Linked DNA regions of Coturnix japonica. Each later gene encodes a partner of the first gene's protein in a complex. Links are inferred from orthologs where the notes say so. Each region holds a gene or a part of one and is shown in the gene's direction. Other genes may lie near its edges.

Region 1 (3,460 bases):
CCCCCACCATGTGGCTGGATGGGGACTGGGACCGCATAAGCTTGGGACCAAGAGCTGCCAGCCCTGAGCAACCCCAATGGGGAGAGGATGTCAGGGATGGGGCTGAGGGTGCTGGCACAGCGCTGGTGAAGCCCTTGGCTCCATCCCCACGTGCTGCCCGCCGCACCCTGCCCTGTGCCGGCGTGTGGGAACAGGCTGAGAGCGAAACTGCAGCGCAACGCCGAGCTCAGATCCTAATCGGGGCCGCCAGCGCTGCTGGGCAGAACTCGAATCAAAATGAGACTGACAAAAAAGAAGGAATAATAATCCCAATTCTTCCAGTACAGCGTAAAGGGAGAGAAAAGAGCCCCGGTGGGATGAGCGGAGAGGGTGGGGGACATGGGGATGGGTGGTGGAGAAGCCTTAATGGGGATCCAGTGGGGTTTGTGGGTGTGGAGCTGCCTTGGGTTTGGGGATGTCCAATGATGGTTCAATGGGGGGGTTGGGGTTGAGTACTTGCAAGTGCCAGGGCAATTCCCCCTGAGCAGGCAGGGTGGAGGAGTTGGGAATGCCCCAATCCCAATCCTGGCCCTGATCCCTGCAGCAGTGCTGGGGTAACGTGCTGCTCCTCCTGCCTCGATTTCCCCACCAGTGGGAATAAATACCAGCCCTTCAAGCCCTTGCAATCACCGACAAGTTAATCATCATATAAAAATGACAGCGATGGGATTTTTGGGGAGGAGACCATTTTTACAGCCAGGTTTATTCCCCGTGCTGTTTCTCTAAGGGTGGTTGGGATGGGGGCACTGGGTGCTGCCGCTTTCCTGCTTCACCCCAATGTGACGACCCCACTGCTCCCTGTTCTGAGCACTCCTGGCAGATGGGGAAGGGTTCCCCCATTGGTCCATGGTCCCCCATTGATCTGGGATCTCCATTGATTCCTGGTCTCCCATTTATTTGGGGTCCCCCATTGATCCGGTTTCCCCCATTAACTCAGGGTCCCCCATTGATCTGGGGATCCCATTGACTGATCCCAAGTCTTCCAAGTATTTGGGGTTTCCCATTGATTTCGGGATCCCACTGATTCCAGGTCTCCCGTGGGTCTGGGTATCCCATTGATCCAGGCTCTCCCACTGGTTCAGGCTCCCCCACTGATCTGGAGTCCCCACTGATTCTAGGTCTCCCATTCATTTGGGGTTTCCCATTGATCCGGGGTCCCCAGTTGATCTTCCCTCCTCCATTGTTTCAGAGTCTCCCACTGACATAGGATGTCCCATTGATCCAGACTTCTCCATTGATCCAGTGGGACATCCCATTGACACAGGGGGGGCTCACCATGAACTCCCTGAACACATCCTCTCCCTCCCGGCACCCACCTGATCCAGGGCAGGGTGGGTGCCACCCGCTCACCCCTTCCCCATCACCCTGTGCCTCGGGGCATGATGACTCACGGCAATTTGCTTTTTAAGGGCGGGCTCTGCGGGGAGGAAGCAGAGGAGGAGGAGGCCGCTCCTTCAGCCTCGTTGGCTCCTCCTGCTCTTGCTCGGGGCTCCGACGCTCAGCCAAAAGCGAATCGGGGCGGTGAAGCTCAGCAGAGGCTCCGACGGCTCCCGGCCCCACTCCTCGTCTCATCCTGCTCCTCATCCGCCCTCAGCCATGGCAAGAAACCACCAAGTGCAGAAAGCCAAGCTGGCCGAGCAGGCTGAGCGCTATGAGGACATGGCGGACTTCATGAAGGCGGTGGTGGAGCATGGAGACGAGCTGTCCAACGAGGAGCGCAACCTCCTCTCCGTCGCCTATAAGAACGTGGTGGGCTGCCAGCGCTCGGCGTGGAGGGTCATCTCCAGCATCGAGCACAAAACCGAGGAGGGAGACGACAAAGCGCAGCTGGTGAATGAATACAGGGAGAAGGTGGAAGAGGAGCTGAAGGGCGTCTGCAACGTGGTGCTGGGCTTGCTGGAGAAGCACCTCATCAAGAAGGCCGGAGATGCAGAGAGCAAAGTGTTCTACCTGAAGATGAAGGGAGACTATTACCGATACCTGGCTGAGGTGGCCTCCGGCAACGACCGCAAGGAGACGATCGACAGCGCCCAGAAGGCGTACCAAGAGGCCATGGACATCAGCAAAAAGGAGATGCAGCCCACGAACCCCATCCGCCTGGGGCTGGCCCTCAACTTCTCCGTCTTCCACTACGAGATCGCCAACGCCCCCGAGCAGGCCATCTCGCTGGCCAAGACCACCTTCGACGAGGCCATGGGGGACCTGCACACGCTCAGCGAAGACTCCTACAAGGACAGCACCCTCATCATGCAGCTGCTCAGGGACAACCTGACGCTATGGACAGCCGAGTGCGCGGGTGAAGACGGCGGCGAGGCTGGCGAAGAGCCCAAGAACTGAACGGCCCCCAATGCAGCTGGGGTCCATCCCCCACCTCCTTCCTCCTCCCCTCCCTCCCAGACTCCCCCCCCTTTCCCCTTCCCCTTCCCGAAGCCCTTCGGTGTCTTTTCCTTTTGTTTTGTTCCTTTTTTAAGGAGTGGGGAAGGTATTTCGCCCCCCCACCCTTACCCCCCCTCCAGTTCTGGGAGTGGGGTCCATATGTTTGCCCTTTGGCAGGGCCTCCCCTTTCCTTCTCCCCCCCCCCATGTTCTTGTCATGCTCCCCTCACCCCTTTAACACTTTGTTTGGGGGATACCCCAGCGTAGCTTAGGGGGGGCCCTAGCCCTCTGTCTTGGGGGGCTAGAGCCGTGCCGCTGGTCCCTTGGGGGCAATGGGAGGAGGTGATGGGACGGGATGGGGAGAAAGGGGAGGGGGGGGGTTGATGTGCCCCCCACCCGGATGGAGGATTGCGAATTGCCGAAGCCTCTGTGTGGCTCCAATAAACCATCTCGTGCACGTCTGCCTCTGTGGTCGCCTCATCTCTCCTGTCGTGCACAAGCCCAGGCAGCTCCTGCAGCTCCCACAGCCGGTCCCATTGCGTGCCACGCCATGCTGGGGAGCACTCGGGGCCTCCAAAGTGCAGGTCTGGCTGCCTGCAGCCCCTCCCAGCCCCGCCATGGGGTGTGGGGGTACTCAGCCAGCCCCAGACCTCAGGGACGGGTCTCAGAATGGGCTTTCTAGGTGGGTTTTCCATAGGGAGAGTATGTCCCAGGTCTCCAGCCCTGCAATTGTATGTCCCCATTCCCATGGTGTCTCCATCCCTTTGGTTTTCCCATTCTTGTACTGTCCTCATCCCCAAGATGTTCCTATGGTGTCCCCACCCCCATAGTATTTCCATCCCCGTAGGGTTTCCATCCCCATGGTGTCCCCATTCCATAGTGTCCCCATCCTCATAGTGTCCCTATCCTCATTATGTTTCCACCCTTATGGTCTTCCCATCCCTATGATGTCCCCATCCCTACAATGTCCCCATCCCCATCTTGATGTCCCCACCTCCATGATATCTCCATCCCCATGGTGTCCCCACCCAAACCACGCAACCCAC
Region 2 (4,290 bases), on another chromosome or scaffold:
GTGGAAAACTCTGGTGGCTAAGTTAAAGACAGGAAAGCCTGGAGAATAAAAAGAGAAGCCCTCGAATGAAGCAGATGAGTAGGTCCCACTTTGCCACCTCACACAGGCTTTTTTTTTTTCTTCTACAGAGTTGCAACTTCAAAAAACAAAGCAAAGGAACCCAACAACCCAGAAATCCCAACAGCAAACACCTAAAGATGCAGACATCAGGATGTCAGCTTCAAGTCTCTGTGAATGGGTAGATCCTGTGGTTGCTGAAAGGAGCTGGAAAACAACTTGTGGTAAAAGTTCTGGCAAACAAAAATAGCAGGGCTGACATTTTATTTCAACCTTGTGTTTTTTAAGTGTTTTTATTTTTCTCTTTGGATGCTCACATCCCTTTTTGAACTCGGTGCTGACAAGAGGCTGACCCAGGACAGAAGGCTGAGCAAGGCAGGGGGCTGCTGCCTTAGGGAAGGAGGCCCACAGACAACCATACTCTGGGGATAAGCATTAAATGCTGATCTTGTTCCCTTTCCAGTGCCTGCACAGGTGAGGCTCCAGTTCAAAACGCACCAACTACAGGGTAGGTTTTGGTGGCCCACTGCAACTGCAAGGCCTGAAGCAAAGTGTGTGTCTGAGTACAGATGGGGCAAAAGCTCCAAAGCTTTAAGGCCACAAGATTTTGGACAGCTGGACTTTGTGGAGGGTGCCAGGCCAGACACTTTGGTATGTGGGGTCTGTAGTATCCAGGTTACCTGGGCCCTGGGGAAGTCCCAAACCTCCAGTGTCTGAAAAGATCCTGCAGTGTGTGGGGCTGTCCTGCTGAGCAAGAGATGCTGACTGTAGTGTGAGTGAGTGTGAACAAGGAGAGCCCAGAGGAGAACCCTGCACTGCTCTTAACTCCAGCGGACCTGCTGCAGCAATCAGAAAAACAGCTCAAAAATCCCTGCCCATGACTCCTGGCTCAACTAACCTTTCAAAACACACAAACTTGAAGGTTTTCATTCTCTTTCCCCTGCTTACTGAGAATACAGCTCCCTGCTGAGAATTCTTACAGCTCCTTCCACACCTGGGCCCTCCTTGCCGGCAGTGCAGCAGAAGCCACCCCTCGCTTTCTCCCTTTCCTCCTGCGGGCAGCACTACGAGGATGCTGGGCAGTGACCCTCTCCCCCGCCTCAGCCGGAGCGCAGCTCCCAGCCCGCCCAACCCTGTGCAAGCAGAGCGATAGCCACAACGAGTCAAAATGCAGCTAGTCCCCTCGACTCGCGTGACTTTCACCAGGCTTATGTTCCGCAGGGGGAGGCGGGCTCACGTGCGCGGAGCGGAGCCGTGCCGTGCCCCCCACGCTCTGCCCGCCCGCCGAGGGGCGGCCGGCGGCCAGGGCCACCTTTAGAGCCGGCGGCGGCGGCGAGGTATGGCCGTGCCGACGGGGCGGTGCCGGCCGCCGTAACCAATGGCTCGGCTCCGCTGTTTAAATAGACTCGTCCTGTCAATCATTTTCTCCTTCGTCAACCTCCCTTCAATCGCCATATTGGGCAACTGAGAAAAGGGCTCGTCTCGCCTTGTTTTTTTTCCCTCTCCGCCCGTACGACGTGGCCGTGGGGAGAGCGGCGGGGCCGTGCGGGCAGCGGTGGGGCCGTGCCGACGGCAGCGCGAGGCCGCCCCCGGGGCCGCGGAGGGCAGCGCCGCTCCCCGCTCGGCCGCTCCCCTCCGGAGCCGCCCGGGCTGCCCGGCGGCGGCGGCTGTCGGGGTTCGGCCGGCCCGGCGCTTATGCAATTGCGCGCCGCCGCCTCTCCTCCGCGGGCCGAGGCGGGGCCGCAGAGAGGGGGCCGTACGGAGACAGACCGCGGAGGAGAACCTGCGAGCGGCCGCGGGTAAGGAGCGGAGAGGAAGAGCGGGGAGAGCCGCGAGAAAGCCCAGCGCCATCGGCGACGGCAGAAAGGGAGGGGGAGATGTCAAACGTCCGCATTTCTAATGGGAGCCCTACCCTGGAGCGCATGGAGGCGCGACAGTCGGAGTACCCGAAGCCGTCGGCCTGCAGGAACCTCTTCGGGCCGATAAACCACGAAGAGTTAAACAGGGACTTGAAGAAGCACCGCAAGGAAATGGAAGAGGCATGCCAGAGGAAGTGGAATTTCGATTTCCAGAACCACAAGCCGCTGGAAGGCAGGTACGAGTGGCAAGCCGTGGAGAAGGGGAGCTCGCCCGACTTGTCCTTCAGACCACTGAGGCTACCCAAAGCCATATGCAAGTCCATCGTCTGTCAGAGCCTGGATGAAAACAAGAATTGCCAAACAGCAATTTGCGCCTCTTCTCAGGGAATCTCAGAGGATACCCACTGTGCAGGCGGGAAGACCAGTGTTGCTGGCGGTCAGACGGACTTTGCAGAGCAGTGCGCCGGGCAGAGGAAAAGACCCGCCGCCGACGGTAACGTACCCCGCGGGCAGCGCCGGGCCCGGCCCCCGCCTCCTCCCGCCCGAACGCCCCCGGTGCCGCCCGCGAGCGCCCGGAGCTCCGCGCTCGGCGGGGACCGCGGGTGAGCGGCGGGACCGAGTGGCGCCCCTCGGGCAGCCCCTCTGCGGAGGAGAAGAGGGGACGCTCCGAGCGCCGGAGTCGGGGCGAAACTAAAACGCGCGTCTCTTTGCCCAGAGAAAAGCCCGTCCGCGCCCACCTTCGCGTAGCCCGGTAGCTGACGTAGGGATGCGGGGACGTGCGGGAATAAGCCCCGGCCCCGTCTCTCCTCCCGCCCCCGGGTGCCGAGCGAGCACCTTGCGGGACAGCGTTTTAAACCGGTCTTCTCCCCCCCCCCTGTTTTTTAATTTTCCCCTCCTAGATTCCTCTCCTCAAAATAAAAGAGCCAACACAACAGAAGAGGAGGTTTCAGAAGACTCCCCCAGTGCCAGTTCAGTGGAGCAAACGCCCAAGAAATCGAGCCCGAGACGACATCAAACGTAAACTCCCCGAGTAGGTTCCCTTCGGGCTCTGGGCATTAGGATGCCTCGGGGGTGTCCGCCCCGAGCTCGGGACCGGGCTTCACGCGGCGTCGTGGTGCTGGGGGGCTGCCCCGCCTCGGCGCCGTTCGCACTGTCCCACCGTGGCAGGGAGCTCCGGCCCAGGAGGGCTCTGGATAAAAGCGGGGCTGAGCGGGAGCCTCTTGGGCTGAGAGAGGAGAGCTTGTGCTCCGGTTTTGTGTTGTTTTTCTCTTTTTTTTTTTATTTTTCTCCTCCCCGGTCGTTGTGGTTTTAGTTTCAGGCGCTGGCTGAGTTTCCAGGGAAGGGAGCGGGTTAATGGCAGCCGTGTGTGGTGTTCTTGTTGTTGTTTTGTTTCAGCGCGAGGGCTGGGGCGGAGGGAGGTGGTACATCGCGCCGGCGGTTTCGGGGCCGGGGTTTAGCGGGAAGGTTTGCGAACGCGGTTCGCGATTGTGCCGAAGAGATTAAGCTGCAAAGCAGAAGTTGCAACAAATTACTCCTGCTGTGGGGGGTGGGGGGGTTAGGGTTAGGCGTCAGCCCTCGCCTCTATGCAAATAGCGCACCACCGCCCGCTCCTTCGGGGCGGGGGCAGCTCCGCGGCCCGGTGGCGGCCCGGCCCCACGGGCTCCGAGCGGAGGCGGCCGACGGCCCTGGGGCGGCCGGGCTTAGAGTGCCGCGGGGCTGGGACGACGCACGGGCCGTGACCGGGCCGGGCCTTCCCTGCTGCGGGGAGCGGTACGAGCCCGTTGAAGGGAGCGCGTCGCTTTCAGCCTCTCTAATGTCTTCTCCCCGTCTTCTTCCCGTTGCAGGGCGGAGGACTCGTGTTTCCTTGCTCATCGGGGGGCGGTGAAGCCAGGAAGATAAACAAACAAACAAACAAAAAAAAAGTCGTAGTAGAGATGAATACATATCGTCGGTCTCCATGGGATGGGGACCCTGTGCAAGCACTGAAAAACAACTTCAGCAAAACAAACAAAAAAAAGCAGACAATAACACTAAAAGTTTAGACACTCTTAAAAAAAGACCTGCCTCTAAAAGCATCGGATGTAGCATTGTGCAATTAGGTGTTTCCTTATTTGCTTCATTGTACTACCTGTGTATATAGTTTTTACCTTATGTAGCACATAAACGTTTTGGGAAGGGGGGGGGGAGTGGAAGAGGGCGACCGATGGAGACTTGCTTTCGCCATCTAGCAAGCAAAGAAATGAAGAGAAGCAGTGTAGGCTTTTTATTCCTTAAAGATGTATTGTCCCTTTACGTGGGTCCCCCGTGTTTTTACTTTTTTCCTCGCACCACGGTGGTAAGTGCTGCTCACAGCAGATGCCTGCGGGCCACCTTC
Region 3 (4,409 bases), on another chromosome or scaffold:
GACCTTGAGATGAATAATGAGAAAAAGGCCAGGAATGGTATGGCTGGGCTGGAAACCAGGACCAGCTGTTTTTGGGAACCCACGTGCCCTCTCTGATCTTCCTCCCTCTTTCATCTCTGGGTTTTCTCCCAGGGCCTCTTGCAGAGAGACATCATCCCACGGGAAAGTGGCTGGAGCACATCTCGGGCAGTTAGTCAGCCAGGCCAGCAATTGCTGCAAGAGAAGAAAAATTCTTAATGGGAATCCCCCACATCTGAGTAGCAGCAGAGAAATTCACCAGGGAAAAGTTCGGCATCACTAAACCCACACTGACTTTAATCCTTATGAGAGGCTGCATTCAGCCAGCTTTCATTGCAAGCAGATGGGAGGGCACCAGTACAAAGCAGAGAGGAAAAAATTAAAATGGACATGGAATAAGGATGCTGACAGGATATAACACTTTTTAAGGGGGAAAAGGGGGTTTTTTGTTTGATTGGTTTTTGTTTTGTTTTTTTAATCTGCACAAACGTTCTGAAGGGTTCTGTAGAGTCCGTGGCAAGAACTGTGTGCAAAGAGTGGAACAGGACTTTCCTGCCTATTCCATCCCATGCCACTGAGACAGATTAAAATCTTCCACAGCAGAGAGGTGAGTTGTTACGAAGGCTGATGCCATACCTGCAGGCCTGCAGCCAGTATGACAGTTTAACACAAGTCAAGCACAAGACTGTATGAATCTCTCTAAACATATATATATATATATATTATCATTGTGACACCCTCAAGGCTTTGGGACATGGGGTCAGCGCAGACAAGCTCCTCTCTGCAGCCCTGCAGGGAAGTGTGTTGCTTCCCTCCCCCAGGACTGGTGCAGGACAGGCAGCCCCATAGGACAGGTGTGGGTGCTGCTGGGACAGCACGGGCACGAGGACAGAACACGTGTAGCAGGGTGGACTCAGCGTACCGACGGGAGCCTCTGCATCCACCCGTCTGGACAGTGACTGGCTTTACCGCGTCACTTCGCCACCAGCCGGCCGAAATATGCCCCCGGTCCGACGCAGGTCAGACGAGCGCTGGTTAATGCCTCCTCGGGGAGGCCCTCTCCCCGATCCGGGCGGGGAAGCCCCGGGCGGGCCGCGGTGCAGGGCAGCGGGCCGGGCGCCGCAGGGAAGTACCGCAGGCACCGCGTTACTCAGCGGGACGGCGAGTACTTCCCCCTCCCCCCCGCAGGCACGGCAGGGAATTCCGCCGGGCTGGGCCGGGCCGCGCTGCTTTGGGCCGGCCCCGTTCCTCCCCGGCCCGCCCCTGGCGCCGAGCAGGACCGGGCTCGCCCGAGTGGCTGGAAATTCCCGCGGCGGCGGCTCCTCCCCCGCAGAAATCCCCTCGCCGGGCTGTATAGGCGCCGCCGCCGCCGCCGCCGCCGCCGCTCACTCGCGGATGCCCGTCCGTGTCGGAACGCCGCCACCAGCAGCAGCAGCCGCGGCGCCGCGCCGCCCCTCCAGCCCCGCCGCCATGCTCAGCGCCCACCGCCCCGCAGAGCCGCCCGCCGTGGAGGGCTGCGAGCCGCCCCGCAAGGAGCGGCAGGGCGGGCCGATGCCTCCCGACGACCGCCACGACAGCGGGCTGGATTCCATGAAGGAGGAGGAGTACAGGCAGCTGGTGCGGGAGCTGGAGGACATCCGCCTGCAGCCCCGCGAGCCGCCCGCCCGGCCGCACGCCTGGGCCCAGCAGCTCACCGAGGACGGCGACACGTAAGTCGGGGCCGCGGGAGGCCGGGCCGGGGCGCGACGGCGGCGGGGAGGCGCCGGGCGGGGAGCGGAGCGGAGCGCGGAAAGTCCCTGGAGCGGAGCCAGGAAGAGGCGGCTCCGCGGTGCGGAAAGCCCCGGCTTTCGAAACCCGCACATGACTGCGGCCGTGAGCCGGGGGCCGCGTCAGCCGCGTCCCGCTGGGGGGATTTGGGTCTCACGTGGGGCGCTTCCTTTTTTCCTCGGTGCAGTTTCCTCCACTTGGCGATCATTCACGAAGAGAAGTCCCTGAGCTTGGAGGTGATCCGACAGGCCGGTGGCGACGGCGCCTTCCTGAACTTCCAGAACAACCTCAGCCAGGTACGCTGCGCCCCCGGGCCGGGCCGCCCCCGCAAAAGGCCCGCGGGGAATTCCCGAGGAGAAGTTTCTGTGTAATTGAATGGATGTGAAGTCGGAGCCCACGTTGGGGAAAGCACCTGGCTCACTCCATGCGGTGGGGGTGCAGCGCTTTGTCCTGCTGCAGCCTCTCGCGTTTTTCATACGCGATGCAATGGATCGCATTCCTCTCCATTGGGATGTTAATGATGCCCTTCCATATGGATAGAATATGTGATATCTGGAGAGCCCCAAGTCTACCATACCATACCATAGCTACCAGACTACAGAGCAGCAGTGTGCTGTGCCAGGAAGCGCTAAGAACTGACTTGCAGTACTTGCATTTGGGCAGAAGTCCTCAATAGCCACTGCAGGGTTTGTGTATTTGAACCTTTGCTAAACTTGTCACATAACTCAAAGCCGTGTGTTCCCTCCTGCCTGCAGACTCCTCTCCACCTGGCGGTGATCACTGACCAGCCTGAGATCGCCGAGCACCTGCTGAAGGCTGGCTGTGACCTGGATGTCAGGGACTTCCGTGGGAACACCCCGCTCCACATTGCCTGCCAGCAGGGCTCGCTCCGCTGTGTCAGCGTCCTCACACAGCACTGCCAGCCCCACCACCTCCTCGCCGTCCTGCAGGCCACCAATTACAATGGTACGTGTGCTCTGCCCTAGCAGAGATCTCAAGAGAAGTATCTTCTTCCCATTGGAGTGCTGAGGAGGGCCCAAAGCAAAGAAGCATCTGACTTCCTTAAGATGTTGTGGGTTCAGCCTTGCGGGCCTCCTCGCTCATGGTCATTGGCTCTCATGGGCCTTAAATTTAGTATTTTTAGTGAGTGCTTCTGCAGTACTCATAGCAGTTATGTTTTTGTGGGTTGTTTTTTTTTTTTTTTTTTAGAGGGTAAAGTTGTTACAGTAAGGCACAGTTAAAACCTAGAATAGATCCCCTAAGAAATCCAACCCAATCCAAAATCCAACCCAGTTATCCCTGTTATCAGGAAGCTGGAAAGCTGTTTTGAAAAACATGGTTTTGCCCCGGTTGATTTACTAACTTAGATACTCTTCTGTCTTATCATCTTGACTTTAAACAAGTTATGGGGCATTAGGTAAGACTTACTCAAATTTTGCCTTTGTTTTTATCTTCCAGGACATACATGTCTCCATTTGGCATCTATTCAAGGATACCTGGCTGTTGTTGAGTACCTGCTGTCCTTAGGAGCAGATGTAAATGCTCAGGTATGTAATTTATGCTATGAATTTAAGTGAGCTGTCTAGTCGGAAGAATCAACAGGTGTGACAGTGCTAAGCCTCACTCCCCTAATGCAATACCTCATGTTGTATCCAAACAGGAGCCATGCAATGGGAGAACAGCACTACACTTGGCCGTAGACCTGCAGAACTCAGACCTGGTGTCACTTCTGGTGAAACACGGGGCAGATGTGAACAAAGTGACCTACCAAGGCTACTCCCCATACCAGCTTACATGGGGACGAGACAACTCCAGCATACAGGAGCAGCTGAAGCTGCTGACCACAGCTGACCTGCAGATACTGCCCGAAAGTGAGGACGAGGAGAGCAGTGAATCAGAGCCAGAGTTCACAGAAGATGAAGTAAGTCCTGTTTGCTTCTTTTCAAGAGAAGAGTCACATCCTGCTCTTTGTTGTTTGGCTGGTACTGCAGTGAATGACCTCTTCCCTATGTAACTTTTGGGGGTTACAGCCCATGAAGTAAGGTTGTACTGCCAGCCATCAGAGGGGTGGCAGTTAGGGCAGGGTGGCAGTTAGGGCAAGGTTATAAACAGAATGAGCTTAGGAGTGAAATATAAATAATACAGTGGGTAACAGAGGGTAGCTTCACACTGTATTATTTCTCTGAGCTGATGCCTACAGAACTTAATGAGATAAAATAGTTAATGGGTGGGTTTGGTCTTCCCAGCATTTGTTTTTGTGATGGTTAAATAGCAAATGTAACCATTTCAGTGTAGAAGTTGCAGACGTACTGGAGTTAGGGCATGCAGAATTTGGCTGTTGTCCCAGAGTAGATGGGATAATCCTAGTAGGAGTTTGGCATTAACAGCACTTTGTTTTTCTTCCAGCTTATGTATGATGACTGCTGTATTGGAGGAAGACAGCTGACATTTTGAAGCAGAGGTTTCTGTGAAAAGTGACTATGTACATATGTAAAGGAAAAAGAGCCTGACTTTCTTCATTTAAAAGGAAAGTCTATACTCGAAGGAGAAAAAAGTGCTGAGATACTACACTGCCCAGCCAGGAGCACATCATGCTAACAGGTTCCATGTTCTGACCTGTGCTT
Region 4 (4,333 bases), on another chromosome or scaffold:
TTCTGGTGCCTTTTAAGATCTTCCCCTGGAGTTCTCTAGGGCACGAACTGTGGAGGGGTACATGACAGGTACACGAAGGTTGTATCATCACATCAGCATGCAAACTGAGATTGCATAGGAAATCTATCTTATGTCTGTAACATAAGCCATGCTGTGGCTTTAACCGTGTTCGAAATGTGATTTCCTAAGTTTTGTAAAAGCCTCCTAGAAAGAGAATTCCATTAAGGGAAACCACGTTGACTCCGATTTCTTCCTCACTTCTCCCAGTGCAGCTATTTCTAAATCACTCCTAAGCTTTTTCAGCTATGCTGAATATTAGATGGCATACGGTTGAGCAGAATAAAATGATCGATATTGTAATGGACTTCTCATCCTAGTACATGGAAGGAATAATAAATGTCGTGATATATGACAGCCCTTCTTAAGCCCCATGGAGCCAAACGAGATGCAGTAAGCATATATCTCCTACTTGCTACCCCTGTTTTTGCTTCCCTGCGTCTGTCCTTTGTTTCCTCCCGCATTTATTTCCTCGGTAATGGATGGGTGTAATTGAATTAAAAGTGACTCGGTCTGAAGAGGAACGTTCTGGGGCTGCACTGCTTCCCTTTGACAGGGAATCACATTTGACAGAATCACAGAATGACCCGGGTTGGAAGGGACCTCAAGGATCATGTAGTTCCAACCCCCCTGCCTGGCAGGGCCACCAAACATACACCTTTACTAGATCAGGTTGCCCATGGCTCCGTCCAACCTGGTCTTGAACACCTCCAAGGACGGGGCATCCATAGCCTCCCTGGGCAGCCTGTTCCAGGGCCTCACCACTCTCCTAGTAAAGAACTTCCCCCTAGACTTCTCCTGTCTTTCCATACCCATCTGGCTTTGTGACCAGCTTAAAGGAACCGAATTTGCTTGGCATCCATCTCATGGTGGGCAGCAAATGCAATGGTGGGTCAGGTGTTGCTCTTGTCTTGCATCCATGTGGAGCAGCACACACTTTATCTTTATCCCCTTTAACTTAAAAATGCCTTTTAGCAAGCTCAGATTTGACACTGCAATGGATGCAGCTCGTGGTCCATGCAGCCCTAATAAATTAATCCTCATTCACACCACATTTGTGGTGTTTTAGCAGTCCCAGCACAAAGCACTGCATTTGTACATCTCGGTAACGGGATTTGCTAACGGGATTTGGTAACGGGACCGGTTGGTACTGTTAGAACATGTACACAGGGATGAGGAGCACGAAGGACACGTTGGAAATGAATGGGGTGACATCACATCCCACACACCGCCTCCATTTTGTATCCGCCCCGTTTACATCACCCACAACCACAATCACGACCCTCCTCCACGGCCGAGGATCTCGCGAGAACACGCGGGCTATATATAGGAGGGGGGCGGGCGCGGGGCTTCCTTTAGTGCTTGTCCGCCCGCCGCGCCGCATCGTGCACAGATCCAGCCGAGAGAGCAGGCCGAGAACATGGAGGACAGCGCTATGGACATGGAGAGCATGGGGCCGCTGCGCCCGCAGACCTTCCTCTTCGGTAACGGGATCGGCTCCCCACGCTGTGCTGGGGGCTGTAGGGCGCGGTGGAGGCGGTTGGTTGGGCCTTGGGCCTGAGGGGGCTCCCGTTGGGCCGCATTGGAGTGGGAGGAGGCGGAGGAGGCCGCGGGGCAGCGCTGAGCGTTGGGCCGCTCCGGTTCCGCTCCGGTTCCGATCCGGTTCCGCTCCGTATGTGGTGGCGATGCGGCCCTTTTGTTCCTCAGACCCTGAGCACGTGGAGCGGCGTGCGGGGACCTGCGGCCATTGCAGCACACATGGAGTATGTGGGGGGGGGGGGGGTGAGATGCGGCCTGCACCGGGAGGGGAGCGGCCTGCAGAGCGGCCGCGTGGTCGGCCGTAGGTCTGGGCCTAACACAGCACGTGTCCTAAACGTGGATGTGTCCTAAACGTTGGGGCTATGGAGTAACGGGGGAGGTTGGCCATGAGGCTCATCGTTCTCTGTCGTCTGCTCACTCTTCATTACAGGCTGTGAGCTTAAAGCGGAGAAGGAGTATCAGTTCAAAGTAGATGATGAAGAGAACGAGCATCAGTTGTCCTTGAGAACGGTAAGTAGCTTTTGTTTTCCTACTTTTCGAGTTCTGAGGTGGGGTTTTCAAGTAGTGCTGCGTGGTTGCTGTGAGAAGGCCAATGTGGTGTGTAAACTCACTGCATTGAACTGATTTATCTTTAAATAAGTACCGATGTTTTGTGGGCTATTACAAGTAATACAAGCTTGAGAATATGGTAACCTATGTCCAGTGAGTTAATAAATGTTTATTGGAAGGAATCGAGAGTTGGAGCTGACATTGAGTGCAATATTCAGTTGTTCCAGGAGCACGAGGAGGGGAAGACTTAGATTAATCATAGAGGGCACATTGCAGCAGAGCACAGGAACTTTACTTTGAAATGGATCTTTCATATACTCCCCAGTTGTAATTTCTGGGCTTTTTTCCCCACAAACTGCTAATAATGTGTGGACTTGGATCTTTTTGGGGCCTGTGGCATTGAGCAGGGCACAGTATTTTGGGGCCTTGGCTCAAGGCTGAGCATGCTTGTGTTGTTTTCCTCATCACTAATACAAGGTGATGCAACTTAACTTGCAATGAGTTTGTAGCTCCCAGCCAAGGAAGTCGTGGTGCCTCTGCATTTTCACTTATATTTAAACATGAAGGTTACACCTTAATGTAAAAGAAAAAATTAAGCTAGAAGTGAGAATTGCTCCTTGCAGGAGATTTGGATGTTAATGTTGTTCAATGCACAGCCTTATCAGAACGATACTTAGGATGCTTTCACTTCAACATTAGTTGTGTGAGTCACGTCTTCACCCTTTTGTTTCACGGATATTACAGTCTGGACTTGACAACGAGCAATTTAGACACAATTGTCGGCCCTTTAGAGTTTGTTTTGAGGGAAGTTCTTTGAGAAGGTTGATGCAGGTGGTTCTCATACCTGTATGGCTGTAACAAAGTAAGAATTGTCACATGGTGATACTTCAGTTGTGTGGATTTGTCTAAAGATTCTCACTTTAGAAGTGAGCTGTAGCATCTCCTGATGGACTGGGGGGGTCTTCATTGAGCATGGAGCAGATTCTATGCTTAGCAGAATGTAGTTTTAGGCCATTTTTTCCCATGTGGGGAAAAAAAGTCTTATTCAGCAGCATGATTTTTAAACTAAAAAGATGACCAAAAAGAATGATGGGGATTGAAATAACAGGTTAGTAATGTCTTAAGCTTGGCATCTCTTAAAAGAATCTACAAGGAAGAGATGGCTTATTAAGCAGGGTAAGGAGGTTCTGGAAGATAAAGCATGACTCTTGTAAACACTGTGTCTGTGCTCAGGATGAAAGTATAAATGAATAAAGGTAGACACGTGTAATTTAAGTCTCTGGCTGAATTTGTGCTGGGGAGGGAGGGGAAGGGAGGACAAAGAAGGATGAAAATGAAAGGGGAGGAGCACTGATGTGTGTAGAGGTAGAAAGTTGTATGAGGGTTAACTTACATCTTTAGGCTCACTTAGCTAGTGGAGTGGTTGCTGCCTCCTTCCCCTTATTGTTTAGTCTAACTTTGGTGTAGAAGGCAAGACATGTAAATGGATGCCTGCCAGCCACTCAGTAAAGAAATGTATCTTAGTTACTATAATATTGGTTGAACTGGTATAGATGGCAGGGGTAGGTAGCTGTGGGCAGGGAGGACATGCTTTAAAATGAAATTCTCATCCTAGTGGGCAGTCCCACCAGCTGATTGTAGTGCGGATCCATTTGAGAGGTGAGATCAGAGCACCAATATCACTGCTTCTAATTCACATGATAAAACATTGCCTCATGTAGTGGAGCCTACATCCTGTTTCTTAGTCTTCATTTGATGTGCTTTGCCTAGATTGTGATCACTTGCTTAAAACACATGTCATAGGGAATGGAAGCTTGAGCATGCCACTGTCTTTGTGAAGTGCTTACACACTTAATTCATGAAGAGTGAGAAGCTTTCTTCTCATGGCTGTTGGGAAGGGATGCAGTAAGCCATGTTTGCTTGCCTCAGAGATAATTGTAGTACTTGAGGAAGTTCTTGGTTTTCAGAGGACTTGCATATAACTCTGACTCAGATGCCAGAGGTTCAGAAAACTGGAATTTCTGGCCTGGTTTATGTCTGTCACTTGTTTGCTACCTTCAAGCTACAATTTTCAAGTTATTGGAACGTGCCTGTCTTGTATGTGGTGTAAGGAATCAAGGTACTTGAGTCTGAGATGCACTAGGATGACAGCGCTCAGTACTTGGTGGGTTAATGCAGAAGGCTCGTG
Region 5 (3,801 bases), on another chromosome or scaffold:
GTGTACCCTAGACTTGAGAAGGGAAGGTTTTAGAAACTCAGTCTGAAAAGGATGACTGCCTCAGTGTCCTGATGCTACCCTGTGGTGTCTGACTAGGGTCAAGAATGGCCTCACTGTATCAGTGTTGGAGGCTGAGGTGTGCAGCATAGCCCTGCTCTTGCTGGCGTAACGAAGCCCAAGAGCACAGAAGTCTTGTCTGAACTGTTCATGTGTTGTGTTCATCTCAATACACTCTATTCCACTTCTGATACTGAGCTTTTAGTTAATAATCAGATTTCTAATTTCTGTGCAGTCTGCCTCGACTGACTTGTGCAGGGCCTGGACGTTCCCCTCGCACCCATGCAATTATTATATAATTACCATGCAATTATTATATAATTACCTCAAAATAAAGGTTTGAAGCATAAATTATAGCTAATGTGATGGCTGTGAAGGGTTTTGAGAAAGTTATGGTTGGTAGTGGAAATCTCGTGATCATTTTTGAGGACTGTCAGGTCCTCTGGGGATACCTGATAGTGGCCTATCAGTGTTCTAAAGCGGGGCTATAAGAAGGGACAGTCTCTATAGAGGAGGGTGTCTGTTGCAATAGAACAAGGGGAAATGGTTTCAAACTAGAACAGGGAAGGTTTAGGCTGGATATAAGGAAAAAGTTTTTTATTATAAGGGTGGTGAGGCACTGGAATAGATTGCCCAGAGAGGTGGTGAATGTCCCATCCCTGGAGGCATTCAAGGTCAGGCTGGACAGGGTTCTCATCAACCCGATATAGCTGTAGGTGTCCCTGTTCATTGCAGGGAAGATGGACTAGATGACCTTTAAAGGGTTCCTTTCAACTTGAGCAATTGTGTGACTAGCTTCTACATGTAGAAAACAGCAAAACATCAATATGCTGTGATGTGATTCACTTCACAATTGTTTTTCAGTCACAGATGCATTTAAAATCAGTTAGCAGTTAGTTAACAGCCTGTAGCTGAGTAGACAGTAATGAAATGTTTATTGCAGACAACTATTGTAGACATAGAAAGCATGTCATTTGCAAGATGATAGGAAATGCTTGTGTATGTTTTAGGCTCATGCTGAATTAAGACAGGTTACACTTCTGAACTGAATAAATCTGCAGAATGGTTGCTATAAAAAATAAATCACAAAAAGAATCACTCATTTTCATGGTATTTCAATTATTTTCTTTTTTAGACATTATTTTTCTTCAAGGAACAGAAGTCATATTTAAAGTAGCACTGAGTCTACTTAGCAGTCAAGAGACAGCTATAATGGGATGTGAGAGTTTTGAGAATATTGTTGATTTTCTTAAAACCACTATTCCAGACATGACTCAACCTCAAATGGAAAAGATTATTACCCAGGTAAAGTTGTTTTTCTCTCTACTTCTTTTTCAATTTAGTATCCTTCTAGAAGTCTGTGCCTAAGGAGGGCCTACAGAGTATGTAGAAGTATTCTCAGGATGTCCCTTTTGGTGTGAAATGCAATGGATTCATTTTCCTAGTAACGTGTAGAAATAGGACATCAGGAAGTGCTTCTTTACCACATGTGTGATGGAGCACTGGTTCAGACTGCCCCCTAGACACTGTGGAATCTCCTTGGAGGTCTTCAAAAACTGCCTGGATGTGGACTTGGGCACCCTGCTCAAAATGGCCCTGATGAAGCAAGGTTTGGGCTAGATAGCCTCAGGAGATACCTTCTAACCTCAGCCCTTCTATGATTGTGTGATGTAGTTTTCAGTGGGTTTTAAACTGTGATTTTTAGAAAGACTTTAGTTTCTACATTATAGTTAGTACTAAAAATACAAAAGAGGTTTATGTTTTCCTATCCAAGCTATTGAGAAAATATGACTTTGGTTATACATTTCATCATCAGCTGTGCAAAAGCAACGTCACTGCAAAATGGTGGCAAAAGCTGTGAATGGAAGATAAACAAAGAATTACTGGTGCTGGTGTAGGGGAAAGTGCCTAATTTGTTTTGAAGTACTGTCAGTGCTTAGGATCTTCATCTCTCTATATCTTCTTTCTTTGCAATGAAGATGCAAATTTGTGTGCCCCGGTGGCGCAGGTGGTAGGAATGCCGCGTTGCAACACCGGAGGCCCTGGGTTCGAATCCCCCCTGTGGCGCAAGTGGTAAAAGTGCCAGTCTGCTACACAGGAGGCTCGAATCCTGGTGGTTGGACTCGATGATCTCTAAGGTCCCTTCCAACCCGCATAAGACTATGATACTATGATGAAGTTGAACGTGAATCTCAGTCTACTACCTGAGCTGGGAATGAGTGAGCAGTTTTCCATCTTCTTGTGGCAACTAGAGATAACAGAAGAGCTCTAGAAAACCATCTCTCCATGCAGGAGTTCAGTTAATACTGGTACATTCCTGTGGCTCAGGTAACACTGGAATGATTCAAGTGCTGTCAGTTAAGTCACTTGTTAATGCCATTTAAATCTTCACTTCCTCTTTATATTGACTGTGATAGCAATGCTGAACCCATGTCAGGCACTTCAGTGTCTTATCTTCGCACCTCAGTAATTTTTCCAGTGGCAGAGATGGTAGTTCAATCTTTTTTGATACTGTGGAAAATAAATCTCTGTCCTGCTGTCTGTGTGCATTTGCTGAGCAACCTTGCTATGATGAGAATGGTAGAAATGGTTTTGTGCAGAGCAGAGCCATATCTGATCAAGTAAATATCAGTGTGTGTTACCTGAGTGGAAATGGGTGTGTTTATACATGGGTCAACGTAGCTCTGAGATGAAGGTCACTTGCCTGCCTGTGGTGTGGTCCCATGCTGGTCAGCCTTCTGGATCTGCATTCATGTGCCCACTGCTTGCATCATATCACTCTTACTGGGCTGCTGCAGATGAAATCGTTTGTCTGTCTTAATGTAGTCATTCTCAGGACCGTTGTTATTGCAGATAATGAAAGAAAAATGCAGGATAATGAAAGTTATGCAGGTCTATAATGCACTGATAGAGTTGACTGAGTAGTTGGCAGAGGAAAATGGCATTTACCTAGAATGAATGTTTTTATGTTCTGTCTCATTTTAAATAACCTGAAGAGTAGTGAATGTAGAGCAAAACATGTTGGGGGATTCTTGTCTCTTCTGCTTGTGAAATGTTTGTGGCTTCTGTAATAAGGAACAAAATTGATATCACAGTAGTCATCCTTCCCAGTATAAAGTATCTGTTAATTTTCAGAAGCTGAGATGCTGTGATTAGGTATACAAACAGTAAGGGGTAATATGACCCTGATGGTTGTCTTGGATCACCCTTTTGTCTTTAATTATATATATATTTATGTATGTCTTCAACTTAGCACTCCTGCACAAAAGATGATAAGATTTGATAGCAAGACGTGATATTTGGCAACACTGTAGTGACTAGATTTATTCTGAAGTCTATATGCTAAAATATTCTTGCTTTAAAAGTAGTTTATTTTTGAAAGGTATAAGAAAGAAAATAGAATAATCAAAGTTTTCTCTTAGACAAACTTTCAAATGGAATAAACATGCTGTCTTTCTGACGTAGCTAAAAACTCTTTTATCTCATGGCAGGTATTTGAGATGGATATTTCAAAACAGCTGCATGCCTATGAAGTAGAGTACCATGTCCTGCAGGATGAACTGCAGGAAAATGTGAACCTCTGTGATGATGGTGAGCCACTGGAGAAGCTGGAGAGGGCAAACAACCACCTGAAAAGGCAAAACATGGATTTGTTGGAGAAGCTACAGGTAAATGACTAAAAATCGCAAACTTGTGGAGAAGACATTCCTAGGGCTCAGCTGATAGCAAAGTGTCTTTTCTTTT
Region 6 (4,584 bases), on another chromosome or scaffold:
GCTCCAGCAGCTCACTGTGCTGTGCTCCTCCTGGGTGTGCACAGGGACATCGGTGCTGCAGGGCATTGCATTCTGCTCGGTCAGCTGGATCAGAGGGAAGAAGAAAGGTAGGAAGGGATGGAAGATGAGGGAAGGGTGGCAGCAATAGCAGCGGGTTGGCCCTCAGGTGTGTGGTTTTGGGGTGAGGCAATAATGCAAGGTGTAGGCTTCATATTCCTGCAATGCAATGTGGCTCCCAGCAGGTTCCAGTTTGCAGGGCTGTGCTGTTGGGGCACAGAACCATTGCTGCTCCCCATGGACCGGCTGCTCTCACTGCTCAGGGTGGGCTCGGATAATCTGCCCTCCTAATTGCCACCCAGTGAGGAGGCAGCTGCTGAGCCAGCCCTTAAGCTGATTTGGGATGGCAAATTCTGTTAGTTTAATTCTCAGCAATGCTGAGGAACGTGCCAGCACGTGAGCATCACTTGGCTTGTCTCTGGCAACCTGAGCCAGCTGGTGAGGGCATGCAGTGCTCAGAGCTGGGACAGGTTGGGTTTGTAAGGGGGTATTTAACTGACCATTCCTTGAGCTCCTGTGTTTGCAGCCCCAACTTTGCTATTCCTTTTTAATGCTCCTTTCCAGAGCTGTGGAGCATTCACTGCCTGGTCTTGGTAACCCAGGCCTTAATAACACACAGGTTAAAGGTGAGCAATGATGAAGAATGCATTTCTGAAAGGATTCCTTTTGCAGTTCCTTCTGTGTTTGCCTTTGAACATAAAGGAAGTTTCCTGCCCCCCTGCCTTGCTGTGATTTCTCATCTCGCTCCATATTAAGCTTTGCTTGCAGTTGATGAGATCACTGCCCGTATTCCTTCGCCTGTCAAGCTCCTTGGAAGAGCTAAGTGCACAAAGGAGATGAAAAAGAAGCTGCTTATGAATTATGAAGAGCCTTTCAAGCTGCTGTTATTTCACGGGGCCGTCGCTCCGTTTTAATTGAGTAATTCAAATGGGGGCAAAAAACAACCAACCCCATCCCAACCTGTTTGTGTTTGATCACCTGTCGGAGGGAACACGAGGCTGGCTCATGTTTGTTGAGCTTTCAAGTAACACAAGCCACCCTTGCAGGTGGAATAATGGGGAAGGAAGGAGCTGAGCAGGAGCTGGGATGCAGCTGCTCCCCTTGTGCTTGCTTGGGGTGTGCAGCAGAGCGTGCAAACACAGCCTGCATCTCTCCAAGCACTGCAGAAATGCATGGCCCATAATGGCCACCAGCAGGTCTGTCAATCCATGGTTTATATGGGGAATTTTAGCCCATGTGAATGGAAGCATCAGTTCCCAGCTCTGTGATCCCAGGGGCTGTGGGGAACAGCCCTGAATCCATGCAGAGCTGGCAGGGTGAGCTGATGCTGGGGCTGCTGGGGGTGGGGGGATGCACACAGCATGCAGGACAGCTCAGCCCCTGGCACCAGAAGCCTTTTGGTTTTGCTCCTTTGTGATGTCATCTGTCACACAGGACAGAAGGCTGAGTGCCACCCAAGCACAGCTGTGTGGTCCCCAGCATCTGCTTTCCTCCTCTCAGCCAACCCAGGCTGCTATCAATAGGGTACGTTGTTTTCAGCCCTGGTTTTTATTCACCTGTCATTGCGGGGAAACGTCACATCAAGGCAGGAAGAGTTTGAGCTGCCAGGCTTCATTTGGGACATCAGCATTCCCAGCTGGAGGGCACAGTGTGTGGCCATAGCAGCAGGATGAGAGCTGTGCAGTGCCATTGTGATGGATGGTGATACATCCTGATGCTGCTGGTGGCCCTGCAGGGACTTTGGCATCAGATCCTGCTGGCTTTGACTCTGGGTTTGACTCTTAGGGGGCACCTTTAGGCTGAGGGACCTGACTGGGTTGTGTGTATGGAGTTAATGGTGCTGGTGGGCTGAGCTCGGATATCTGTGCCCCCATGGGAAGCCTGGGGCTGTTAATGGGGCTTGAGGGGCTGTTAACACCACAGTGGGCTGTTGCTGCTTAGATAGGGCCCCTGTTTGGTGGGGATAGTCCTGCTGGAAGGGGATAAGGCTCTTGGTAGGGCTGTGTGCTTTATCTCCTGCATGGTGCCCTGCTGACGTTGAGCTCTGCAGCTCTCCTTGTTGAGTTACTCATTCCCAACCCATTGCTTTGAGGCTGTTCTTACGGCCTTTTGGAACATCTTTTCCCTTTCACGGGAGGGATTTCCTCCTCCTCCACTTGAGAAGCAGAAGGTTTGTCATCTCAGATGTTGTTTGTAACTCATAGACGTGCAGTTTTCAACCCCCCTTAGAATAAGAAGCGCTTTGTGGATGAGCCCTTTGGTTTTGCTTCCTGGTTGCAGCAGGACGGATCCGAGCCACAACTATGTGCATCCCCCTCATGTTCTGATCCTGCTTTTAGCTGATGTGGGGGAGAATGGACTCCAGCATCCATCAGAGAGGCATAAAACGCCTTTATAGTGTTGAATATGACTGCGTGATGATACAGCCTGTGTATTTCCAACCCAGCTGGGAGAGCTTTGCAGCTAAGAGATAATGGTGCTGCTGGCTCACTTGGCCTCACCCTCTGGACTGCTTGGTGTCGTTTGTTTACCTCTCTGTTGTGCTGAAGCTTTATCAGCCCTGTTGTAATGCTTTTGCATCCCAGCCCTTGCAGGGAGAGCCTGCTTCCATCCTGCTGCCCTGCAGGCACAGCACGAAGCCATCCAGCCCCATTGGGAGATGCTGCTGCTCCCCAAAGTCCCTCTGTCCAAACAGTTGTGTGTCCTGCAGCTCTCAGGGGGCATCTGGGTGATTTAATCCTCGGCTCTTTGTGGCTTTAGGTGATGCTTTTTTCCTTGTAACCTAACGGGCAGCTCTTATCTCTGCAAAATTAATTAGGAGCCCATCCCCGCTCCTTCAGCTCCAGCCATGCATGGAGCTCAATGGGAGCAGGGCTGTCTGTGCCCAGCTGTGAGCAGAACAGCATTAAAGGATTTTTTTGCAGCTCATAGAGAGACAGTGAGACCGACGGGTTCCCTAAGAAGCAGCCAAACGTTTCCTGGTGTCAGAAAGCAGCAGTGAGAGCCAGCACTGCAGGCAGGCGGCTCCATGGCCTTTGCTGAATCACTGCTGGCTGCTGCCGTGCCAGGGCTGCACAGATGCTGAAATGCTGAGCTCGGAGGAGAAGTGGGACGTCTTGAGCTGAGCTGAGCTGAACCCTGTCCACAGAACGGGCAGATGAGCCCCAGGCTGGGAATGTGAGCTGGATGTGGAGCCAGGAGTCAGTGCTGGATGGTGGCCCAGGAAATTCTTGTCCAGAGGCAGGAAAGCACTAAATGTGACTTTCAAAGAGAGGTGCTGAGAGCTCCATTCCAAACACTGGGGCGGGGGGGGGGCAGGAGAGGAGGACGTGAGCATCATTGGAACCCAGCAGTGGGATGAGTGGATGGTCTGCATCTGGGTCAGCACACACAAAGGTGTGTGGGTGCTCAGTGAGCTGGGCTGGGAGGGCTGTCCTTGTCCAAGCTTTGTGGCTGTCAAAGGCAGCAGTGAAGTTGTACATTCATCTTCCTAAGGCTTAAAGAAGCTGGGCAGGAGCTCTGCTTACTGCCATTGGAGCTTCTCTTGCTCGGTTCCATATATCCTGTTTATTTCTTGCCAGCAAACAAAACCACGTGTGTTTGCTTCCTTGCTTGCAGTGACCCGAGCCTCACTGCTGCATCCATTTGCTCCTGACGGTCATGGCAAGCACACGATTACACTAATAGCCTGTTATTAATCACTGCCAGTGGCTGTAATTACATCAGCTATTAGGAAGTCAACTAAAATCCATGTCTGTCCAATCAGAAGGACAGGCATGGTGCCTGCAGCTTGTGTTTGTTGTTGGGTTCTCTTCCTTTAAGCACTTTTAAAAGCCCCCTGAGGTCCTGGTTTGGTGTGTTAGCACTTTGCACTGCTCAATGAGTGCGGGTGGAATGTGCTCCTGGTGAATGTGGGGGCACAGGATGCTCTGGGGAGTGTTTGAGCACAGCTATGTGAAACCCAATGGGCATCTGTGTATCCTGAGCATCCCTGCACACTGTGATGTGAAACCCAATGGGCATCTGTGTATCCTGAGCATCCCTGCACACTGTGATGTGATTTGGGGTCTCATCAAGGAAAGGAGATAAAGCAGCTCCCTTCTTGCTGTGGCTGAGGAGGCAGCGTGCATTTGTTGGCTCATTGCTGGCCAGAGGATGCTCCTGGGATGGAGCTGAGGTGGTTTGGAGCACACCAACAAGGCTCCAGGCTTTGCAATCATTGCTTTTGTTTCCTTCTTCAGGTAACTTGGCTGCAAGATGGCAGAACCACACCAGGATGTCACCAACGTGGAGGACCAGGAGAGGCAGCACGTCCCTTCAGGTGAGCACATCCACAAGGAGATGGTGCAGAGGACAAGAGTGAGCCATGCAGGGGGAGCAGAGCCCTGGGGGCAGCCAGGAGGAGATGGGGTGTGTGTGTGTGTGTGTATATGGAAGGCTCCTGCACAGCAGCTGGCTGCAGGCAATAAGCATTGGGTGATTGCTCTGATGCTCCTGAATGAAGGATAATGCTGCTGTGTGATGTGG
Region 7 (3,801 bases), on another chromosome or scaffold:
TAATTTGAAGAAGGTTGGACAGCTCAAAGGTTATTTGAGCAATTGTGGAAAAGGAGGCTGAGGGGGAGACTTTATTGCTCTCTTCAAATACCTGAAAGGTTGATAACAGGGAGAGCAGGGTTTGTCTCTTGAGGGGAAATGGCCTCAAGTCATGTTAGGGGAGGTTTTGGTTGGATATCAGGAAAAGCTTCTTTACAGAAAGGGTTGTTAAGCACTGGAATAGGCTCCCCAGGAAGGTGGTTGAGTCACCATCACTGAATGTGCTTAAAAACCATTTGCTTGTGGTGTTCAGGGGACATGATTTAGAAGAGGGTTGTTAGAGTTAGGATAGTATGGTTAGGCTGTGGTTCGACGTGATGAACTTGAAGGTCTTTTTCAACCTGTGCAATTCTATGATTCTATATTATTTCAGTAAGTGTTGGTAATCTAAAATAATGTCTTCTATACTTTTTACACTTTAAACAGTTTTGCAATTATTATATGGGAAGTGATGTCAAGGAAACACCCATTTGAAGGTAAGGCCATGTTTTCTTGTAATTTATTTTTCTAGCTTTAGGTGTAGGCTGTTCCAGTGACCTGGATTCCTCAGAACTTCATTTCAGGGATTGCTTCATGATAATCCTATTTGTGAACCTGTTCAAGAAGTAATTGAGTTACTTCTCAGATTTGACTCTTTTTCAAATTATAATATTGATAAGAAAAAAATGTATTTGAATTCTTTTAAAAGAGGAAAGCCTTATTTTGGTGAAATGTAAATATTACGACTGCAATCTTAATTATTCTTCCTACAGTGAGCTATTTATTTTGCATATATTTCTAATGAAAGCACGATGTCTATTTTGACAGAAGTTATAAACCCCTTGCAGATAATGTATAGTGTGTCACAAGGACAGCGACTAGACTTAAGTGAAAAAAGCTTATCAATGGACATTCCGCATCGAGCTCTTGTCATAAGATTGATAGAGAGTGGATGGGCACAAAACCCAGATGAAAGACCATCGTTCTTAAGTAAGTTTACTTTGCAAAATGAATACAGTTCTTAAAATTGCCAGCTTTTTGTCTCATTTATTACATATAGAGTAAGGGTGTAGTTGCTAAATGGAAATGACAAAAATGTCAGAAAATTCATCTCTGCTCAGTCAAATTGTGTGCAATTCTTGTCTGGTTCCAACATGTGTATCAGCTAATTTTTACGAACGGAGCTATGTGTGCCATAATAACAGTTTGTTAGTTGGAGTCTCCTACATGTGCCGTCTCTTGTTGAAGGGACTTTTTTATTTATTTACTTATTTTCAGAAGAGGGAGGAGAATGAGTGAAATACATAGAGTGCTGTGGGTTTTGTAAGAGCTGGCAAAGCAGCAAATCATTGCACATCAGATGAGCTGCTGTAACTTCACTTTATTTCTGTATGTTTGCATGGATGAATCTTTTTCACTCGAACTTTGATTGTTGAGGCCACAGAGGTACCTTTTAATCTTTCTGTAGTTTCTTGTCTATATATAGGTAACTTCAGCCTTTTTCCAATGAATTATGTAATTTAGAGCTGAAGATTGAAGAGTGAGCTTGCAGAGATTAGCATGGCATGTTGTTAACTAGAGAAATTCTGTTTTGAAATCAAGCCTGGGTTTGTCATGCTTAACAAGCATGTGCACTGAGCCTAGATATACTCCCTATACCAGTTTCTCCCTAATATGAAAAGCTGCTAAATATTTTTGTGATTTCTGGCTCTGTGTGCAACAGCAGCTCTATAAAAACATAGGCTGAAAGTCATCACCAAGTTTTTAGTTGTGAAATCTTATTAGGGTTGGCATAGTCACCAATAGAATCATAGACTGTCTAGGCTGGAAAAGAACTTCAAGATCATCCAGTCCAACTGTCATTATGATCTATTCCCATCATTAAACCATGTCTCTTTGTACCATGTGTAAAATCTCCCTGATATGAAAGGAGTATTTCATCCATCCTCTTTATCAACAGCAATTATAGTATCTTGTTTTTTCTTTTATCCTAATCCTTTTATCCTCGGTATAAACAATATGTTTCATTACCTGAATGCTCACGTTTCACTCTTCTAGCTTTTGCTGTATTCTACCCCAAGATCTGGTCTTCAAACTCGATCAGATACATATAAGTGCTTTTGAAAAGCTTTTCTTTCACACAGTATATAATGTTTTAATTTGATGCAATGCTTTAAAATGGCTTATTAGCCTTGCAACCGATCTTCTTGATTCTTGCTTCTCTGCTGCCATCATGGCTTCAGTTCTCCTCCTGCCTCTTAGCTATTAATTATAATTCAAAATCTGGACTGAAAAAAATAAACTTGTCTTAGAGTTCCACATTATTTGAGAGGAAGCTGGGAATTCTGGGTTTGCTCAACAGTCATCTGCTAAACTTTTGGATTCTTTTTTGAAATAAACCTATGAGTTGTATATTGCTCCTTACAAGTAGAGTGGACATTAATCCAAGCACCTCATTTGAAGATTTGCTGAATGAAAGCTTGCTATTTTTAAACCCTTTATAAAACTTCAGTATACTAGAATAATGCTAATCAGACAGCTAAGAAATAAGTGGTTGTAACTTCACTCTTCGGACCAGTTTTGCAGAAAAATAGAACTAAACAGAATGCAACCAAACAGATTTATCGTCTTTATGTTCAAAGTTTGGAGTCCGAAAAGAGTTTTGTCCACTTTTGAAGCATTTTTTACTTTGCCATAAAAGTATTCTCTGAAATGTTAATTTATTTTGTATGAGTCTGGTTTATATGGTATTAAATCATGGACTGTTTAATTATTATTTTTTCCCTGAGTAAGTAAATCTATTTATAATATTTTTAAAAATAAAACAAGTAAACATGTCACAGTACTTCCTTTAGTATTCTTGCTTTCTTATGTCTGTTACTCAAAATAAAATGACAGCCCAAGTCTATGGTCACACAGGAGGAGTAATTACCTGGGATAGATGTACTGTATGAACTGTCTTTGGTTCTATGCAGTACCTGAATTAATGTGGTCTTTGAAGAGAACATGCGTTGCTTTCCCTTTACTATCATAAAAAGAATGAGGAAGTTAGAAATGTTTTTCAAAATTAAGGGAAGTGAATTTCACTGATTGGGAAATTTTGCATTCACCACAGCACAGGGAAAAAGAAAGTAACACCCAGCTTCTCCCCCCCCATCTCCCCTCCCTTCCTTTTTAAATATGCTTAAAATAGAAATGTTTTCTTAACTCATCTGTCCCTTATAAAGAACGGACAAAGACTATTTATTCCCCTGTTTCTGCATAACTTCTGTTGATTCTGTGGTCTTGGAACACGTACCTGCAGTTTAATTAAAATCAATAAAAACTGTCCTAGTACTTCATTGTGAAATGGAGTACCAGATTCTGTGTAAGCTGATGCAAGAGAACAAGAATCCCACTACTGAACGTATGTCTTGAAAGTGCCAGTTAAACAAGAGCTATTCTGGGAGAACTACAGTGAAACAGTAAAAACTATGGTAATACATTAATAAGATGCAGTGCCACAGGTTCCTACTACAGTAAATGGATTTTGATGAATCAGTGGAGTTCATAGGAAGTGCACTAGAAGTTGTTACCTGTTGTTATCCTTTCCTGAAGTTTGAGCACAGCTTCAAGGAGACATTTGTGTAATACCCACCTCAAAATGTGAAATAATTTGTTTTGGAAATCTTGTAGCATTGGGAAATGAGGGACCATCATGTAGACTGTCTCTTGATTATTAAACTGTCACATGGCTTCCTATGCAAGCAGATGATGTTAGCTTCTGCCTCTGAGCTTTCAGAT

The links.
Region 2: the proteins of SFN (region 1) and CDKN1B are in contact, whole or in part, in a crystal structure (PDB 7ORG), measured with the Homo sapiens proteins. The link is inferred for Coturnix japonica from reciprocal best matches to the Homo sapiens genes SFN and CDKN1B. Residues at the interface, in NP_006133.1 of Homo sapiens: Lys49, Arg56, Arg60, Arg129, Tyr130, Glu133, Leu174, Asn175, Val178, Glu182, Leu222, Asp225, Asn226, Leu229, Trp230; in NP_004055.1 of Homo sapiens: Arg194, Arg195, Arg196, Gln197, Thr198.
Region 3: the proteins of SFN (region 1) and NFKBIA are in contact, whole or in part, in a crystal structure (PDB 6Y1J), measured with the Homo sapiens proteins. The link is inferred for Coturnix japonica from reciprocal best matches to the Homo sapiens genes SFN and NFKBIA. Residues at the interface, in NP_006133.1 of Homo sapiens: Glu14, Cys38, Asn42, Val46, Lys49, Asn50, Gly53, Gly54, Arg56, Lys122, Arg129, Tyr130, Pro167, Gly171, Leu172, Leu174, Asn175, Val178, Leu218, Leu222, Asn226; in NP_065390.1 of Homo sapiens: Gly62, Ser63, Glu64, Pro65, Trp66, Lys67, Gln68.
Region 4: the proteins of SFN (region 1) and NPM1 are in contact, whole or in part, in a crystal structure (PDB 7OBG), measured with the Homo sapiens proteins. The link is inferred for Coturnix japonica from reciprocal best matches to the Homo sapiens genes SFN and NPM1. Residues at the interface, in NP_006133.1 of Homo sapiens: Lys49, Arg56, Arg60, Lys122, Asp126, Arg129, Tyr130, Glu133, Gly171, Leu174, Asn175, Val178, Glu182, Ile219, Leu222, Asp225, Asn226, Leu229, Trp230; in NP_001341935.1 of Homo sapiens: Trp288, Gln289, Trp290, Arg291, Lys292, Ser293, Leu294.
Region 5: the proteins of SFN (region 1) and TBC1D4 are in contact, whole or in part, in a crystal structure (PDB 7NIX), measured with the Homo sapiens proteins. The link is inferred for Coturnix japonica from reciprocal best matches to the Homo sapiens genes SFN and TBC1D4. Residues at the interface, in NP_006133.1 of Homo sapiens: Asn42, Ser45, Val46, Lys49, Arg56, Arg60, Phe119, Lys122, Arg129, Tyr130, Glu133, Gly171, Leu174, Asn175, Val178, Tyr181, Glu182, Leu218, Ile219, Leu222, Asp225, Asn226, Leu229, Trp230; in NP_055647.2 of Homo sapiens: Arg637, Arg638, Arg639, Ala640, His641, Thr642, Phe643, Ser644, His645, Pro647.
Region 6: the proteins of SFN (region 1) and MAPT are in contact, whole or in part, in a crystal structure (PDB 4FL5), measured with the Homo sapiens proteins. The link is inferred for Coturnix japonica from reciprocal best matches to the Homo sapiens genes SFN and MAPT. Residues at the interface, in NP_006133.1 of Homo sapiens: Asn42, Ser45, Val46, Lys49, Arg56, Arg60, Phe119, Lys122, Arg129, Tyr130, Glu133, Gly171, Leu174, Asn175, Val178, Tyr181, Glu182, Ile183, Ile219, Leu222, Asn226, Leu229, Trp230; in NP_058519.3 of Homo sapiens: Arg528, Thr529, Pro530, Ser531, Leu532, Pro533, Thr534, Pro535.
Region 7: the proteins of SFN (region 1) and RIPK2 are in contact, whole or in part, in a crystal structure (PDB 7OBS), measured with the Homo sapiens proteins. The link is inferred for Coturnix japonica from reciprocal best matches to the Homo sapiens genes SFN and RIPK2. Residues at the interface, in NP_006133.1 of Homo sapiens: Lys49, Arg56, Arg60, Lys122, Asp126, Arg129, Tyr130, Pro167, Gly171, Leu174, Asn175, Val178, Tyr181, Glu182, Ile219, Leu222, Asp225, Asn226, Leu229, Trp230; in NP_003812.1 of Homo sapiens: Leu535, Gln536, Asn537, Lys538, Ser539, Met540.

The regions. Positions count from the first base shown.
Region 1 is NC_029538.1:1,605,120-1,608,579, forward strand, and holds SFN (14-3-3 protein sigma), read left to right. Parts: upstream 1-1,482; 5' UTR 1,483-1,635; coding exon 1,636-2,376; 3' UTR 2,377-2,875; downstream 2,876-3,460. UniProt on the Homo sapiens protein: Adapter protein implicated in the regulation of a large spectrum of both general and specialized signaling pathways. Binds to a large number of partners, usually by recognition of a phosphoserine or phosphothreonine motif.
Region 2 is NC_029516.1:66,307,451-66,311,740, forward strand, and holds the start of CDKN1B (cyclin-dependent kinase inhibitor 1B), read left to right. Parts: upstream 1-1,409; 5' UTR 1,410-1,934; coding exon 1,935-2,409; intron 2,410-2,815; coding exon 2,816-2,937; 3' UTR 2,938-2,946; intron 2,947-3,760; 3' UTR 3,761-4,290. UniProt on the Homo sapiens protein: Important regulator of cell cycle progression. Inhibits the kinase activity of CDK2 bound to cyclin A, but has little inhibitory activity on CDK2 bound to SPDYA. Involved in G1 arrest. Potent inhibitor of cyclin E- and cyclin A-CDK2 complexes.
Region 3 is NC_029520.1:32,789,517-32,793,925, reverse strand, and holds the start of NFKBIA (NF-kappa-B inhibitor alpha), read left to right. Parts: upstream 1-1,308; 5' UTR 1,309-1,413; coding exon 1,414-1,727; intron 1,728-1,972; coding exon 1,973-2,081; intron 2,082-2,540; coding exon 2,541-2,751; intron 2,752-3,243; coding exon 3,244-3,332; intron 3,333-3,445; coding exon 3,446-3,706; intron 3,707-4,191; coding exon 4,192-4,239; 3' UTR 4,240-4,409. UniProt on the Homo sapiens protein: Inhibits the activity of dimeric NF-kappa-B/REL complexes by trapping REL (RELA/p65 and NFKB1/p50) dimers in the cytoplasm by masking their nuclear localization signals.
Region 4 is NC_029528.1:13,570,536-13,574,868, forward strand, and holds the start of NPM1 (nucleophosmin), read left to right. Parts: upstream 1-1,391; 5' UTR 1,392-1,477; coding exon 1,478-1,541; intron 1,542-2,026; coding exon 2,027-2,106; intron 2,107-4,333. UniProt on the Homo sapiens protein: Involved in diverse cellular processes such as ribosome biogenesis, centrosome duplication, protein chaperoning, histone assembly, cell proliferation, and regulation of tumor suppressors p53/TP53 and ARF.
Region 5 is NC_029516.1:139,163,871-139,167,671, forward strand, and holds part of TBC1D4 (TBC1 domain family member 4), read left to right. Parts: intron 1-1,192; coding exon 1,193-1,362; intron 1,363-3,548; coding exon 3,549-3,725; intron 3,726-3,801.
Region 6 is NC_029542.1:2,390,542-2,395,125, reverse strand, and holds the start of MAPT (microtubule-associated protein tau), read left to right. Parts: upstream 1-1,496; 5' UTR 1,497-1,581; intron 1,582-4,298; 5' UTR 4,299-4,314; coding exon 4,315-4,378; intron 4,379-4,584. UniProt on the Homo sapiens protein: Promotes microtubule assembly and stability, and might be involved in the establishment and maintenance of neuronal polarity.
Region 7 is NC_029517.1:112,518,982-112,522,782, forward strand, and holds part of RIPK2 (receptor-interacting serine/threonine-protein kinase 2), read left to right. Parts: intron 1-465; coding exon 466-515; intron 516-846; coding exon 847-1,008; intron 1,009-3,801.